Linked DNA regions of Arabidopsis thaliana. The protein of the gene in region 1 interacts with the protein of each later gene in a pairwise test. Each region holds a gene or a part of one and is shown on either strand. Other genes may lie near its edges.

Region 1 (6,457 bases):
CTGATGCAAGCTCCGTTCTTGATTCCGTTTACAAGCAGAGTCAAAATATTCACAGTGAGTGGCTATTGGGATATGTATATCTGATGAATAATAATCATTTGTACGTTTTGAGGAACCTATAAGAGCTAATTAAATAGACTTGCATAAGTAATCTGGGTAAATGTGAGAAAAAGATTGTATGTACTTGTTTACTGATAACTTGGTTGTGGTTGTATTGACTTGCTGGTCATCTTTCGTAGACACAATTAGCAACGGCAAGGCAGAGTCATGGATCGCAAGGAATTTTTGCTCGAAATCGGTTCAGAATACGAAGAGATCATATCTTGGAAGATGCTTACAATCAAATGAGTGCGTTATCAGAGGATGATCTACGGAGCTCGGTAAGTTCTTGCCCGATATTGGTCTTCTAGCAATTGCTTGGCTCACTACTGAAACAGATCCATATTTCGTCCCTGTGTCTCTCTGATTTGTTTATCTTTTGCGATGCTTGTGATGCAAATAACTACTGGCTGTAGATTCGTGTGACATTTGTGAATGAACTCGGAGTTGAGGAAGCTGGTATTGATGGTGGTGGCATTTTCAAAGACTTCATGGAGAAAATTACCCGAGCAGCCTTTGATGTGCAATACGGGTTGTTTAAGGTCATATGTCTAGTTTTGCTCACCCAAGTTTTTGTGGATTTGATAATTTACCTTACTCCATCATCTTTGCATTTAGTACGTCTATCTTTCTCTGAATATTGTACATGCTTTCTTTCAGGAGACCGCTGATCACATGCTTTATCCTAATCCTGGATCAGGAATGATACATGAACAGCATCTCCAGTTCTTTCATTTTCTCGGCAGTCTCCTCGCAAAAGTATGGTATTTGATTGGTGGCCTTGATGCGGAACTCTTATAATTTACCATTTTTTACTCCTGAAAACTTTTATATATAGGACAGAAAGCAAACTATAATGCTTACAGTGTACGCCACATTTGATTTTTAATACACTACTCGCAATGTTTTTCATGCAAATAGAATTAGTAGGCGTATAACTTGATGTTTTCCTAGAAAAATTATTGAATTTGTCCTTTTGTCGTTATTTAAAGTTGCTTTTCATCTGTTATATAAGACTCATAATTGTTTTTTCCCGTTATCTTGTTGCAGGCTATGTTTGAAGGGATTCTTGTTGATATACCATTTGCAACGTTTTTCCTCAGCAAACTGAAACAAAAGTATGTAAATTTAATTTCTACCTCAATTTCCTGTCACTTCATTCGTTTTTTAAGCCCGCATAGACTTTTTGAACATGTTGTGAAACTTCTATTGTTCTTTGGCTAGGTACAACTATTTGAACGATTTGCCTTCTCTGGATCCTGAGTTGTATAGGCACCTTATATTTCTGAAGGTGAGTTTTGCTGAACATTCTATTTAATTGTTGCTTTGTAGAACGGGGAGATAGTTGCTAGCATAGATGTGCGAGAATGCTGAAATCTGTTTGTTTGTTTTTGTTTCGAAACTGAAATTTGTTTGTTTACCTACCTACGATAATTTTGGCTCTTTTTTTTTTTTTTTTTTTTGCTTCTTAGCTTTATACACCTTTTTATGTATTCATTATGATATTTGCAGCGTTATAAGGGTGATATCTCAGACTTGGAGCTTTACTTTGTTATTTTGAATAATGAATATGGAGAGAGGACAGAGGAAGAGCTACTTCCAGGGGGCCAAGACATGCGAGTTACAAATGAGAATGTTATAACTTTCATTCATCTGGTTTCCAATCATCGGTTAAATTTTCAGGTACTGGGGAACCACTTACCTCTCATTTATCTTGGCATACCTGAGGTCACCCTGTAAATCAACAGCTATTGATATCATCTCATTTGCAGATACGCCAGCAGAGTTCTCATTTCTTGAGGGGGTTTCAGCAACTCATTCCGAAAGAATGGATCGACATGTTCAATGAACATGAGCTTCAGGTGCCAATTAAGTGTATAATTATACTTGCTTTGTTAGTTGTTCCCTCGAGGAGCATGAAGAGAGAAATTTTACCTTTGTGGGCTTTGGTTGCAGGTTCTCATATCTGGTTCAGTTGATAGTTTGGATATAGACGACTTGCGAAACAACACTAATTATGCTGGAGGCTACCACGCGGTGAGTGGTTCTTCACTGTTAGCCGAAATGCCATTGTGAATTAGTGTAGGGACACTTTTGGAGTATTGTTATATATGATTATATCGCTATGTTGTTGACACTTGACAGGGACATTATGTGATCGATATGTTCTGGGAAGTTATGAAAAGCTTCTCAACTGAAAACCAGAAGAAGTTCTTAAAGTAAGCAAACTTTGCAGTTACTACTACAGTCTGTGTACGCAATGATTTACCGGAGTCTATGAATTTTCTAAGGGAACTAAGAGGTACCTCTATTTTTCAATTTCAGGTTTGTGACAGGCTGCTCACGAGGACCACTGCTGGGTTTCAAATACTTGGAACCTGCATTCTGCATACAGAGGTAATATACACAGACTCACAATCGTTTTGACTTTTGATGGGCCCTGGACAATAGAATCATAAAATATCCATCCTCGATGGAATGTGTATCAGGGCTGCCGGTAGTGCGAGTAATGAATCAGTTGATAGACTACCGACATCAGCCACTTGTATGAATCTTCTTAAGCTTCCGCCCTATCAAAGGTTTGTCCTCTCATAACACAAACTCTTTGGTTTTGCTTAGCTAAGAGACTTGTTTTGTTGCCAAATAGCTTCTCTTGGTGTTGTAATTGGAAAAAGCAAATAAAGCATGTCTTGTTGTTAATGATGCAGCAAAGAGCTACTTGAGACCAAATTGATGTACGCCATAAGCGCAGAAGCGGGTTTTGATCTGAGCTGATGGAATAGCTTCCTGCCTTAAACACAGACTTCAATGGCCCCAAATTGACACCCTTTTTTCTAGCATTCCTCGTTATGGTATAAACCGGGTAACCTGTAGACTGAGGCAGGCTTGTTGGCTCTAAGCATCTAAGAGACGGATCTAGAAGGAGAACATGTAGTAGAGATTACTTGACTAATGGGTTTCATTTGCAGCTCTCGGGTATTCGCTTTCAAAAAGTGTGACAAAAAAAAAAAAGTGATTACAGGGAAGTCTTTATTTGGAAGCTCCTGAGAGTTAGTCTTGGGTTAAAAATTCAATAAAAGAAATGGTAAATAAGACTGGTCTCAAGAGGAACTTAAATGCTGTAAATTATTTTGCTTAATTAATGCATGTTACACAGAACATAGATGATTATTTTGATACTTATTTGCATCATACCATATATCTTCTATAAAAAGATGCATTTTAGTGACTTAGTGGTAAGAATATCCTTTTTTTTTTTTTTTTGTCATATGATAATTATTAAAACAGAAACAAAATGACAGAAAAATAACGAGAAATACAAAATGAAATTTAAACTTTACTTTCCTTAGACACTTGATTGTGAAGTCATGAAGGCTCTCCAAGTGCTAAGTAAAACTTAGACTGAAACCTTCTGTCTTGAATCACACTCCCAAGAAATGGAACGCGCGATCAGATTTGCGTTTGTGGCAATATGACGGAATGTACAAGATTCAAATGCACTAACAATCTCATGGATTTGTGTTAACCAATTTCTATAGAAAGGCTATTTGGACGGCTGCAAAACGGCGTTAAGTGCGGCTGGACAGTCCAACTCTATTATCACCGTGGTAAGAATATCTCTATATACATTTTTTGTCGCACTTATCATGATTAATCAAGTAAACATAATTGTTACAAACACTTTATAAATTAAAAAAGCTTCAATTCAATTTGCACAGAAAAGAAAAAAAAAAGAAGAAGATTCAATACAGAGTATACCAGGAGCATCTGGTAATGTTTATATCTGAGGACGTTTTATTTAATTTTTTGGAACGAAAACAATAATCCGACGATCGTATTTGCACGTCGCAAATCCGCTCTTTTAATCAAAGATCTCGACCGTCCATTTTTAGTTAAGACTTTAGAGAGCTGATAAGTGGAATAGTGGAGATTTGCATTCGCAGGGGATAAGGATCAAAAATGGAGGAAGCAAAGGGACCTGTGAAGCACGTATTGCTTGCTAGTTTCAAAGATGGGGTTAGTCCTGAGAAAATCGAAGAGCTCATCAAAGGTTACGCCAATCTCGTCAATCTCATCGAACCTATGAAAGCTTTCCACTGGTTAGTAAATTTGGATTCTGAATTGCTTCCTAGTGTTAGACATATGCTCGAGATCCGAAAAACACTTCCATCAACTCAATATGATTATGTAAAACTAAGCAATTTGGGGAAATTCATGACCTTCCTAGTGTTGATCTAATTTCCCTCAGAGAGAATCCATCTCCATTGATGATCTTTTGAAAAGTTAAATCAACTAAATCGACGAATCTGCTCTTGTCTTATTGAATTATTGGATCTGTATAATTTTAGGGGAAAAGATGTGAGCATTGAGAATCTGCATCAAGGTTACACACACATCTTTGAATCCACATTTGAGAGTAAAGAAGCTGTTGCAGAGTACATTGCTCATCCTGCTCACGTTGAATTCGCCACCATCTTCCTTGGCAGCTTGGATAAAGTTTTGGTTATTGACTACAAGCCTACCTCTGTCTCTCTCTAATTATCTTGTAGCAGCATTTTCATCATTGATCTTTTTCTCGGGTATGCATCTTGTATGTTGAATAAAGTATATTCCTTTTGAGTTTTCCTGCATTGTTCTCATGTTTCTCTGTGAATTTCTCTCTTTTTTGTTTGTTTGTTTGTTTCCTTCTGTTGTATTATACTTGATCTGTAAAAAGATCATGAGTTTATTAAGAGTGTTTGATTTCAGACTCCTCTTTGTTATAAGTCTATTACTAGTTGTTGTCTCTTAGTTTCTTTTATCAATAGAGTTGAGTTATATGGAATAACAAGTTGAAAAGAAACCAGGTTCTTGTTGATGTGTGGGTTGGAGAAAAAAAGTTCTTTGATTATATATGTAACATTTATGCATTACTGTTTAATGTAATCGTCTAATGAGTATGATGAAGGGAGATTGAATCAATCCCACTCTCACATCATGTTTGAGATGACAAGTACAATGCCACAAATATTCTGAAAATCACCACTGTTCTTCACAGCTGAAGGATCAACTTTGAAATCCGCCATGTCTTGTTCACATGTTGAAGGTCCTTCCATAGCTGCTGAAACCTTAATGTTCAACCCTTTGCCATCGCCTGACGCCAGGCTCTGCTTAGCATCATTGAGACTGCTTATTGCACTCTTATAATGTTGTACACATGAGGTGTATGCTTTCTTCATAGTGGGGTTGGTTGCTGTCTTGACTAGAGATTGAATTTTCCTGAAACCTTCTGATGCACTTGTTTGTGCAGAACCAAATGTGATATTTGCAAGCGTTTGAAGATCAGCACCTGAGGTCTTTGGGTTGGATTTCATGTAGCTCGTACAGAAGGATTGGTTTTTCGCTTTTCCACATATCGCTTTTATGTCTGCCACTTGTGCGTTCAAAGAACCAGTCATTACAAAAAACATCAGAGAAGACATTAAAACTCTGTTCGTCAGGTATGCTGCCATCTTTGCTTCTTTCTTTCTTATGTTCGTTGGTAGATGATGGTTAAGTTATTCCCTTACTATGCCTGACTATTCATATTTATAGATGCATGCGATTGATTGCTTCCACTAGAACTAATAATAGAAATGGGTTGTTACTCTTTCTGATTCTTAGTTAGACCACAAGTCCTTATGTAAGAGAGAGAGAAAACTTTGCTATTCTTAGCATTAGTGCAGAGACAGTTATCTGATTAGTATTCGTCTAACTTACTTTCCTGACTTCTCTTCTTTAGGTAGATATGCATTCACTAATATGTGTTCATGATTTGTTGGTGCTAAGAAAGATTACTGTAGGAAGAGGTTCTATGGAGATAATTGTCATAAATATACACCAGAAGTAACGAGAGATTAAAGTCTTAGCTGAGATGCAAGACACGGTAATTTTGACTATGAATATATTCATTTATTGGTCTTTAAGTTACTAGTACATCAGCGTGAATGACATTTAGTAGTTTCTGCCTTCTTGCAGGTGAAAGATACATAAAGAATCAAGAAGTCAAAACGTCGGAGAAAACCCTATCAATATTACACATTCTCTTAAAAAACAAATTGAGTTTTGCTACATAAGCCGGCACATTTCCTGCAAACTGAGCTTCACACACTGATATACTAATGAAGGCTTTAGCAGCCCCTTGAGATGCTAACGGGTACGCCTTAGAGGTCACAAACCCTTGAGCTTCCTCGATCGCTTTAATGGCTCCTTCATAATCTCTCACGCAAGTCTCAAATGGGATCTTGAGCGTCGGATCAGTCGTGGTATTCACTGAGCCTTTCATCGCCGCTAGGTTCTTATTGCCCAATAATTGCGTCTTTTGGAAGACTAAATCGAG
Region 2 (7,989 bases), 2.6 Mb from region 1:
CATGTCGAGAAACTCGGTAACCTTGACACCTACGTCTGTGGTTCCACTCATTCAAAGCTTGCTGTTCTTCTTGTCCCTCATGTTTTCGGTAAAAAAACCTTTTTACCTGTCCCAATTACGTTTGATGTTCTTTCTGAATTTGTTGGTTTGATTTGAGAATCTAAAACGTTTTCTTCTGCAGGATATGAAACTCCAAACCTGAGGTGCTGTAACAGAGAATCCCTACTGAATCAGCTTGTCTTTTGTTGATTGTTAGACAGTCTTTTACTTCAGATTCTTTGTTATAATGAGTTATAGTTTATATCACCTTTTATAGTCACTCGAAAGATGTTTCATTCTTGCTGTAACTTGTCATGGATATTGTTCTTCCCTTGATAGGAAACTTGCTGACAAGGTTGCAGAAGCTGGATTCTACGCGGTGGTTCCTGATTTCTTCCATGGAGATCCTTATAATCCCGAGAACCAGGATCGTCCGTTTCCTATTTGGATGAAAGATCATGAACTAGTTAGTTTCTTTTCCTTATTAAATGTTCAATCCTCAATTTTTCTCAAAAACATAAATGAGTCTTTGTTTCCCAGCATGAAATAGTCCAAGTATCCCAATAATCCCTTATTATTAGTGCCAAAATGCTATCACTACTTATTGTTGATTGCAAAGCTAAGATTAAGTCAGTGTTTTTGTACTGTTCTGTGTCAATGTATCTGAAACCAGACTATGGATTTTGTAGGAGAAAGGGTTTGAGGAGTCAAAGCCAATAGTGGAGGCCTTGAAGAACAAAGGCATAACTAGTATAGGAGCAGCAGGGTTCTGTTGGGGTGGTGAGTTCGGTTTTCTTGTTCCCATCATCACCACAGTTTTATGAAAATGTTTTCCATGATCTGTATAATAAGTCAACCATGTATATTAGTTAACACAAGACTTTTTGTTTCTTATTCTTTAGCAAAAGTTGCGGTGGAACTAGCTAAGGAAAAGCTTGTTGACGCTACTGTTTTGTTACATCCTGCTCGCGTTACGGTGGATGATATCAAGGGTATTTAGATCTTTGATATGGCCACTCCTTACTTGATAGTTCTCTCTCATTTGTTGTGATTATGACTCTCACTATATGATTGAAGCAGAGGTCAACCTTCCAATTGCTGTATTAGGAGCTGAAATCGATCAAGTGTCTCCTCCAGAACTTGTGAGGCAGTTCGAAGATATTTTAGCTTCTAAACCTCAGGTACTTTGCTTAGCTCTATGTCTTTATGCAAGGTAATATTTTCATTACTTACAAAAACACAACTAGTAGTTGATGTGTTTTTGGAAGTAGATATCTTCTTCAAGTAGATAATTGTGAGCAAAGTGATATGTTTCAGGTGAAGAGTTTTGTGAAGATATTCCCAAGATGCAAACACGGTTGGACTGTTAGATACAATGAAAATGATCCATCAGAAGTTGAAGCTGCAATGGAAGCTCACAAGGACATGCTCGCTTGGCTCATCGACTATCTCAAGTGAGAACTTGAAACGGTCTAAGCTTTGGTTTGCACATAACCAGCGGAGACCCAAAATCATGTCTAGTACTCTTTAAATAATAAATGTAACTAGTAGTATCTTCTTTAATTTATGTTGCTTTGTCATGTTTGTGGCTAGTGTTCTCTGTTTCGTTTCAGTCTGAGAAACATCAGTTTGAGTTAAACTTAAGACGTTCTAGAAATATCTTAATGTTCCTTTGGACCTTAAGCCTATTTATGTTGTTGATATTGAAATAAAGACATCCCCAAATTCAGCTATATAAATCTTTCTAAATTGATTTTTCTCTATGACTAATGAATTAGCTCTACTTTAAAATTCATCTGCATTACGATTTTTTTTGTTTTTTGAAAAATCGACCTCTTAGTAAATCATAAAACCTTGACAAAATTAGCAATTCTCAACTAATGTTTAACAGATAGTTGTTAGTTTCACCAGCTTCTGTTTAATTATTAATTTGATGATTAAAAATAATTTTTTTTTCTAAATATGGATTCTTGTATTGATATTTCAGATAATTATCTGTCTTTGTTGGTTCTAGTTGATAAGTAACCATGGTTCAGAAAAAAACAAGAAGATGAGTAACCATGAATCTGACTAGAATTGGATCCTAGTACTGGAGATGAGCTGTAGAATCAGATAAAAATTGTAAACAAACTCTCTTCCAAAAAAACAGAATCAGATCAATGAAATAAACGAGGCATGTTTGTGAGATGGAAACTTCTTCAATCTTATGGCATCAGAGTCCTCGATTTCACGAATCAGATACAAACATAAATATTTGCTCAGAGGGTACCATATCTGAACTCTGAGTTTGAGTATGGAAAACGTTCTTAAATCTAAAAGTTCTCCTATAGATTTGGTAACTAGGTGACGACGTCTTTACGATACTCTCTCTAAATGTGACTATACAACTAATGAAAACTTGTAAAAAAAAAAAAAAACTCAAATACAAATTTTCATTAGTTTTACTTTTGTATTTTAATACCAATCCTATGCATGTCTTGAAACAGGTGAATTGTTGTAATATAGAAATATTTCTTAATTGATGAAGTTTTGTTATTCACAATTTTAACGATAAGTTAAGTCCAATGTTCAAAGTTTCCTGAGGTGGTAATCGGGTGGTCATGACTCATGAGCTGCCTGATTATAGTACATTGCAAATTTAATTGGTTGACTTTTTAAGTCATCATTTTGTTTTAAGATTATTGATTCTGATCCAAAAATAATTAGTCTGAGGATGTAATAAATTGAATCTTTTTTGGCATAATTAAAAAATGTATTTATATTGCATTATAATGTGGCAGTAAATGGCAGAGAGGCCTCTTGTGTTGGTATTTAATATCCTGTTTCTGCGTACATCTCTTATTTAATTCCTCACCTTGCCAAATCACAATTCTCCTCTTCAAGTCTTAACCAAACCCAAAGTCCTTCAACAAGAAAATCCAATGGCTGATCCGGCAACGAGTTCTCCGTTGTTGGATGACCATGTAGGTGGAGAAGATGAAAGAGGAAGGAGATCAAGATCATCAACTTTGGTTCAAAAAGTGATCGACGTGGAAGAAGCAAAAGCTCAAATGATTTACTCTTTGCCAATGATACTCACCAATGTTTTCTACTACTGTATTCCTATAACTTCTGTGATGTTTGCTTCTCACCTCGGTCAACTCGAGCTCGCCGGTGCCACCCTTGCCAATTCTTGGGCCACCGTCTCCGGTTTTGCCTTCATGGTACCATTATTTCCTTATTTCTTTAGCTTTTGTAATTTAAAATCTTGTTTTGATGTCTACTTGCAAAAGTTACTAAAACCCACTTATTTCCATCTCAATAATAGACTCGAACTCGAATTCAAGAATCAAGATTGTTTAAAATGATTTATTCGACATAAATGACTAGTAGATGATTTTAGGAGTTGTCTAAATTTTTATTAACGACATCTTCAAGAACATTTGGCCAACGGTATATATGTATAAGTGCTTGTTTATGACATACATTAATGTCTCTTTGTTTTCAGGTAGGGTTAAGTGGATCACTTGAGACATTATGTGGACAAGGCTTTGGTGCAAAAAGATACAGGATGTTGGGAGTTCATCTACAATCATCTTGCATCGTTTCATTAGTTTTCAGCATCCTCATCACCATCTTCTGGTTCTTCACAGAATCGATTTTTGGACTTCTCAGACAAGATCCTAGCATTTCAAAACAAGCTGCACTCTATATGAAGTACCAAGCTCCCGGTTTACTAGCTTACGGGTTTTTACAAAATATTTTGAGATTTTGCCAAACACAATCGATCATTGCTCCACTAGTCATCTTCTCGTTTGTTCCCTTGGTGATAAACATTGCTACCGCATATGTTCTTGTTTATGTAGCTGGGCTTGGATTCATTGGTGCTCCAATAGCTACATCTATTTCATTGTGGATAGCTTTCCTTTCGCTTGGAACTTATGTGATGTGTTCAGAAAAGTTTAAGGAAACATGGACTGGATTTTCGTTGGAATCATTCCGTTATATCGTAATAAACTTGACATTAAGCCTCCCTTCTGCTGCTATGGTATGGTAAGTATATATGTTTCTTGACCGTTATATCTAGCCTAGTGGTTTATATTAGTCAATGTAATCATACCCGGGGTCAAAACCAAATAGTACATGTTGACAAAAAGAAAAAAAAATATCATTAGGCTTGTTGAAGCTTAAGAGACTATATTGTTGCAACAGTTTGGAATATTGGGCATTCGAGATTCTTGTGTTCTTGGCAGGAGTGATGCCAAACCCGGAAATCAATACTTCTTTGGTCGCTATATGGTAAAAAATATATATTTTTAATATCACTTTTTTGGTAGTTAATGTTTTTTTTATCTATTATATCAAATTTCTCAATGTGTGTTATGTTAAATAAATTCAGCGTCAACACGGAGGCGATTAGCTACATGTTAACATACGGACTTAGTGCAGCTGCAAGGTTTGCTCATTTTACTAGATAGTTTCAAAATACTTTGTATTCCATCTTGCTGAAAAATATTGTTTCGGAAATGTAAAAATCGAAAATAAATATTGCAGTACGCGTGTGTCCAATGAACTTGGAGCAGGAAATGTAAAAGGCGCAAAGAAGGCGACCTCTGTGTCCGTAAAGTTGTCTTTAGTTCTTGCTCTCGGCGTTGTAATTGTTTTACTCGTAGGTCATGATGGTTGGGTTGGGTTATTTAGCGATAGCTATGTGATTAAAGAGGAGTTTGCATCATTGAGGTTTTTTCTTGCTGCCTCTATAACTCTTGATTCAATCCAAGGAGTTTTATCAGGTAAAAGATCCAATATATATTTTTTTTTTTTACTCATCTAGGGTGGTAAAAATCATTGTTAAATTTATTTACAGGAGTTGCAAGAGGATGCGGATGGCAGCGTTTAGTCACGGTTATAAATTTGGCGACATTCTACTTAATTGGAATGCCGATTGCCGCCTTTTGTGGTTTCAAGTTGAAGTTTTATGCCAAGGTATTGCTTGATTCTATAATAAGATTAGTAAATTTTGTTTGATTATGTTATGTTTGATTCATTATTTTGATGGCGACAGGGTTTGTGGATTGGTTTGATATGTGGAATATTTTGCCAATCATCATCTCTTTTGCTTATGACAATATTCCGGAAGTGGACAAAGCTGAATGTTGCTACGGTCTGAAAACTCTAGTTACGTTCCATTTTTCTACGGAGGCACATTTATTTTCTTAAGCAGATATGGAATCAGTTATCAAGATATATATTTGGAACTCATGATCATTTTCCAAACGCTTAGTTAAGATTTATCTTTCTTAGTTTTCTTTTTATTCTTTTGGAGTGTAAGGGAAATAATCTGGTTCACAAAGTTGGTCATGGCTTGAATATTACAGCATCATTCTAAGCTATCTTTGAAACCAACTTCTTCTTAGTTGCGTTCTTCAATTTACTAGACTAGTTTCGTTATCGTCAGCAAGAAACTTTTCTCATTTTCTATTTCTTTAATTCCTCGTCGTTTTACTATTTTTGGCGATTTTTTTGGCATATTGTGCTAAAATCAGAAATTTTGATGCTTTCTATGTAAACTTATTTCTCTTGCTTAGTTACACACGTCTGGTCTGGTGTCTCCATATTATCCTGTTTGCTTTCTGGCAATGAGCTAGCTTAAATATGAGATCTTTGTCCACACGTTTTCTCAAAATAATAGCTTTTCTGGCCATTAATTTTGATAGAATCTATCTCGTCTCTTCGAAATAATGATTTTCTATCTATCTCGATAGGATTGAATCTTCATTTAAACCATCAATTAGTAGAATGCTCAGACAACTTTCTGGCCAGATTAGTCAGACAACGTGTGTTTGGACTCTCCTATCATGTTAAGTTTCATGGGATTCCAACTCAAAACCAATTGGTAATTAATGAATTATCCAATGTCTTTTATATACTACTCAAATCTTCTCTCATCTTTATGATGTGTGATCATTCTCCACAAGATTAAGTTTGATCATACAGTTCATTTAGGCTTTTCCATGTCCTAAAGGAGGTTATGGCCGTTATGAATTTACTTAACACAAATCTAATAAGTTTTCCATTATTTAGCCATGAGGCGATGCTAGGATGATTAGTAAGCCTATTACATAATCTTATTTTCAGATAGAGTTTAACATAATTAGGTGATTGACTTGAATAGAATCTACGAATGCCATCAATTGATTTACTTGACACTGTTTCCATAGAAGTTTAACATAAAACAGTGTCATGAAACTTAAGTAGTTGTTATTTGGTGGGCTAAGGAATAGAATCTAGGATTGTGCTTAATTAAACCTCGTTATGTCACATGGTTCGATCTCATCTATTGTTTTGCTATGTTGAACTTTCGTGATACAAATCTTTCTAATTTTGAACTGAACTTCAATTCCTAATTAAACTCGTTTTTTTGTGTTTCATTTATTCGTTAATGTTAGTCGTCTTTTGTGTTTCATTTATTCGGTCATGTTAGTCTTTCCCTAATATAGTGTAAATTCCTAGTTTAACAATAGTTTCACTATAGCACAATGGTTAAATTCATCTTGATTGATAACTTTCCTAAATTTGAAATCCACAAACCAAATTCATTGCCTATCAAAAGAATTCGTCTCTCATATTCGATCTGTGGCATAAGAAAACTTTTTTAAAAAGAAATATGTAATTATTTGTGTAAAAATATATACAGTGTAAATTCATTGCTTATCAAAAACATCCGTTGTAGTACAAGGGTTTAATTCATCTTGATTGCTGTTTCTCTAGTTTAATCGATTGATCGCTTTCTAGGTTTGAATCCTGGCAGCGGAAACTTTTTTAATTTATCTGTTGTTATTTGTGTAAATATATATACAGTGTAAATTCATTGCTTATCAAAAGATCCGCTGTAACACAAGGATTTAATTTATCTCGATTGTTGTTTCTCCGGTTTAATTGATTGATGGCTTTCCGGATTTGAAAAGTTTCCGGGATCGAATTTCGGCACTAGAAAACTTTTTTTAGTTTTTTTTTGTAATTATGGGTTTCAATAGATAGATATACAATATATAGTTTAAATTCATAATTTATAATTCTCCCCTTACAAAAGATTAAAATTTGGATTACATTTGAGAATAAAGGGGAGAAGCAACATAGCATGTAGCGGAATGGATCAAGCTAAAAGACGTTTAAGGGAGAACACAAGTTTATGAGACTCCTAGATCTCACATCGTTCACCCTGACCCACATCGACCTTGTGATGGTCCCATGCAAGAAAATGGCAAATCACACGTCGATTCTTACATCGGGCAGAGGTAGATCAAAGCGGGAAAGTTGAAGAATCATGCAAGTATCAGATTGGCCTCCACATCGACATAGGCAATGTCATCCCACAAATTTTGAAGTGCCAGCATGGTTTAAACTTGTTTTTGAGGATTTTTAATATAAGTTTGAGTTTTCTCTAATTTGTATAGAGACTCAAGAGCCTTGTTCTACATTTCGTTAATGAAGATGTCATATTTTCATCAAACTAGTGAAGATTTTCTCATCTTGATACATCTCTTCTCTTAAATTATGTTTATGCCTCCATTTACCTTTGCTTTTTTGCTTCTTTAGTTCAGTCTTGTTATCAAAGTTTTGAAGATTAAACTAGCTAGGATTAATAATGAATACATCAATGATGTTGATTATGGGAGAATCTTGCTAGATTCTTTAGTCAAAAGAATTGGAGTTCTTAGACTCTCATAGGAAGGGAAGATCTTCCCCACCATTCCTTACACGCAACGTGAGTTATCTAGAATTTAGCTTCTACCTGCTCTTGAGTCTTAGCAAGTCAAAGATTAGTAGCAGCAGTGCAGCACACTATTAACAATTACATCAACCATCAGCGTCAGAAGACAATTTAACCAGACTAATATTCTCTAAAATGTTAGCCGTTTATTTTGAATTTTTTGATGGCCGGAAACTAACTCTTTACTACTTGATGGT

What was found.
Region 2: the proteins of HS1 (region 1) and ALF5 interact in a protein complementation assay, tested with the Arabidopsis thaliana proteins (one large-scale study listed by BioGRID).

Annotation. Positions count from the first base shown.
Region 1 is NC_003074.8:5,878,259-5,884,715, forward strand, and holds HS1 (heat stable protein 1), read left to right. Parts: upstream 1-3,660; 5' UTR 3,661-3,707; intron 3,708-3,806; exon of another isoform or gene 3,807-3,818; 5' UTR 3,819-4,059; coding exon 4,060-4,199; intron 4,200-4,448; coding exon 4,449-4,638; 3' UTR 4,639-4,942; downstream 4,943-6,457. Other genes in the region: UPL6 (ubiquitin protein ligase 6), read left to right, coding at 1-54, 240-380, 516-641, 760-858, 1,150-1,217, 1,324-1,390, 1,612-1,782, 1,872-1,961 and 5 more; PMEI2 (pectin methylesterase inhibitor 2), read right to left, coding at 5,070-5,591; AT3G17225 (Plant invertase/pectin methylesterase inhibitor superfamily protein), read right to left, coding at 6,116-6,457.
Region 2 is NC_003074.8:8,451,560-8,459,548, reverse strand, and holds ALF5 (MATE efflux family protein), read left to right. Parts: upstream 1-2,840; 5' UTR 2,841-2,960; coding exon 2,961-3,242; intron 3,243-3,526; coding exon 3,527-4,071; intron 4,072-4,230; coding exon 4,231-4,317; intron 4,318-4,417; coding exon 4,418-4,474; intron 4,475-4,572; coding exon 4,573-4,811; coding exon of another isoform or gene 4,812-4,852; exon of another isoform or gene 4,853-4,885; coding exon 4,886-5,004; intron 5,005-5,083; coding exon 5,084-5,188; 3' UTR 5,189-5,646; downstream 5,647-7,989. Other genes in the region: AT3G23570 (alpha/beta-Hydrolases superfamily protein), read left to right, coding at 1-88, 182-203, 379-505, 729-819, 942-1,031, 1,120-1,220, 1,357-1,497.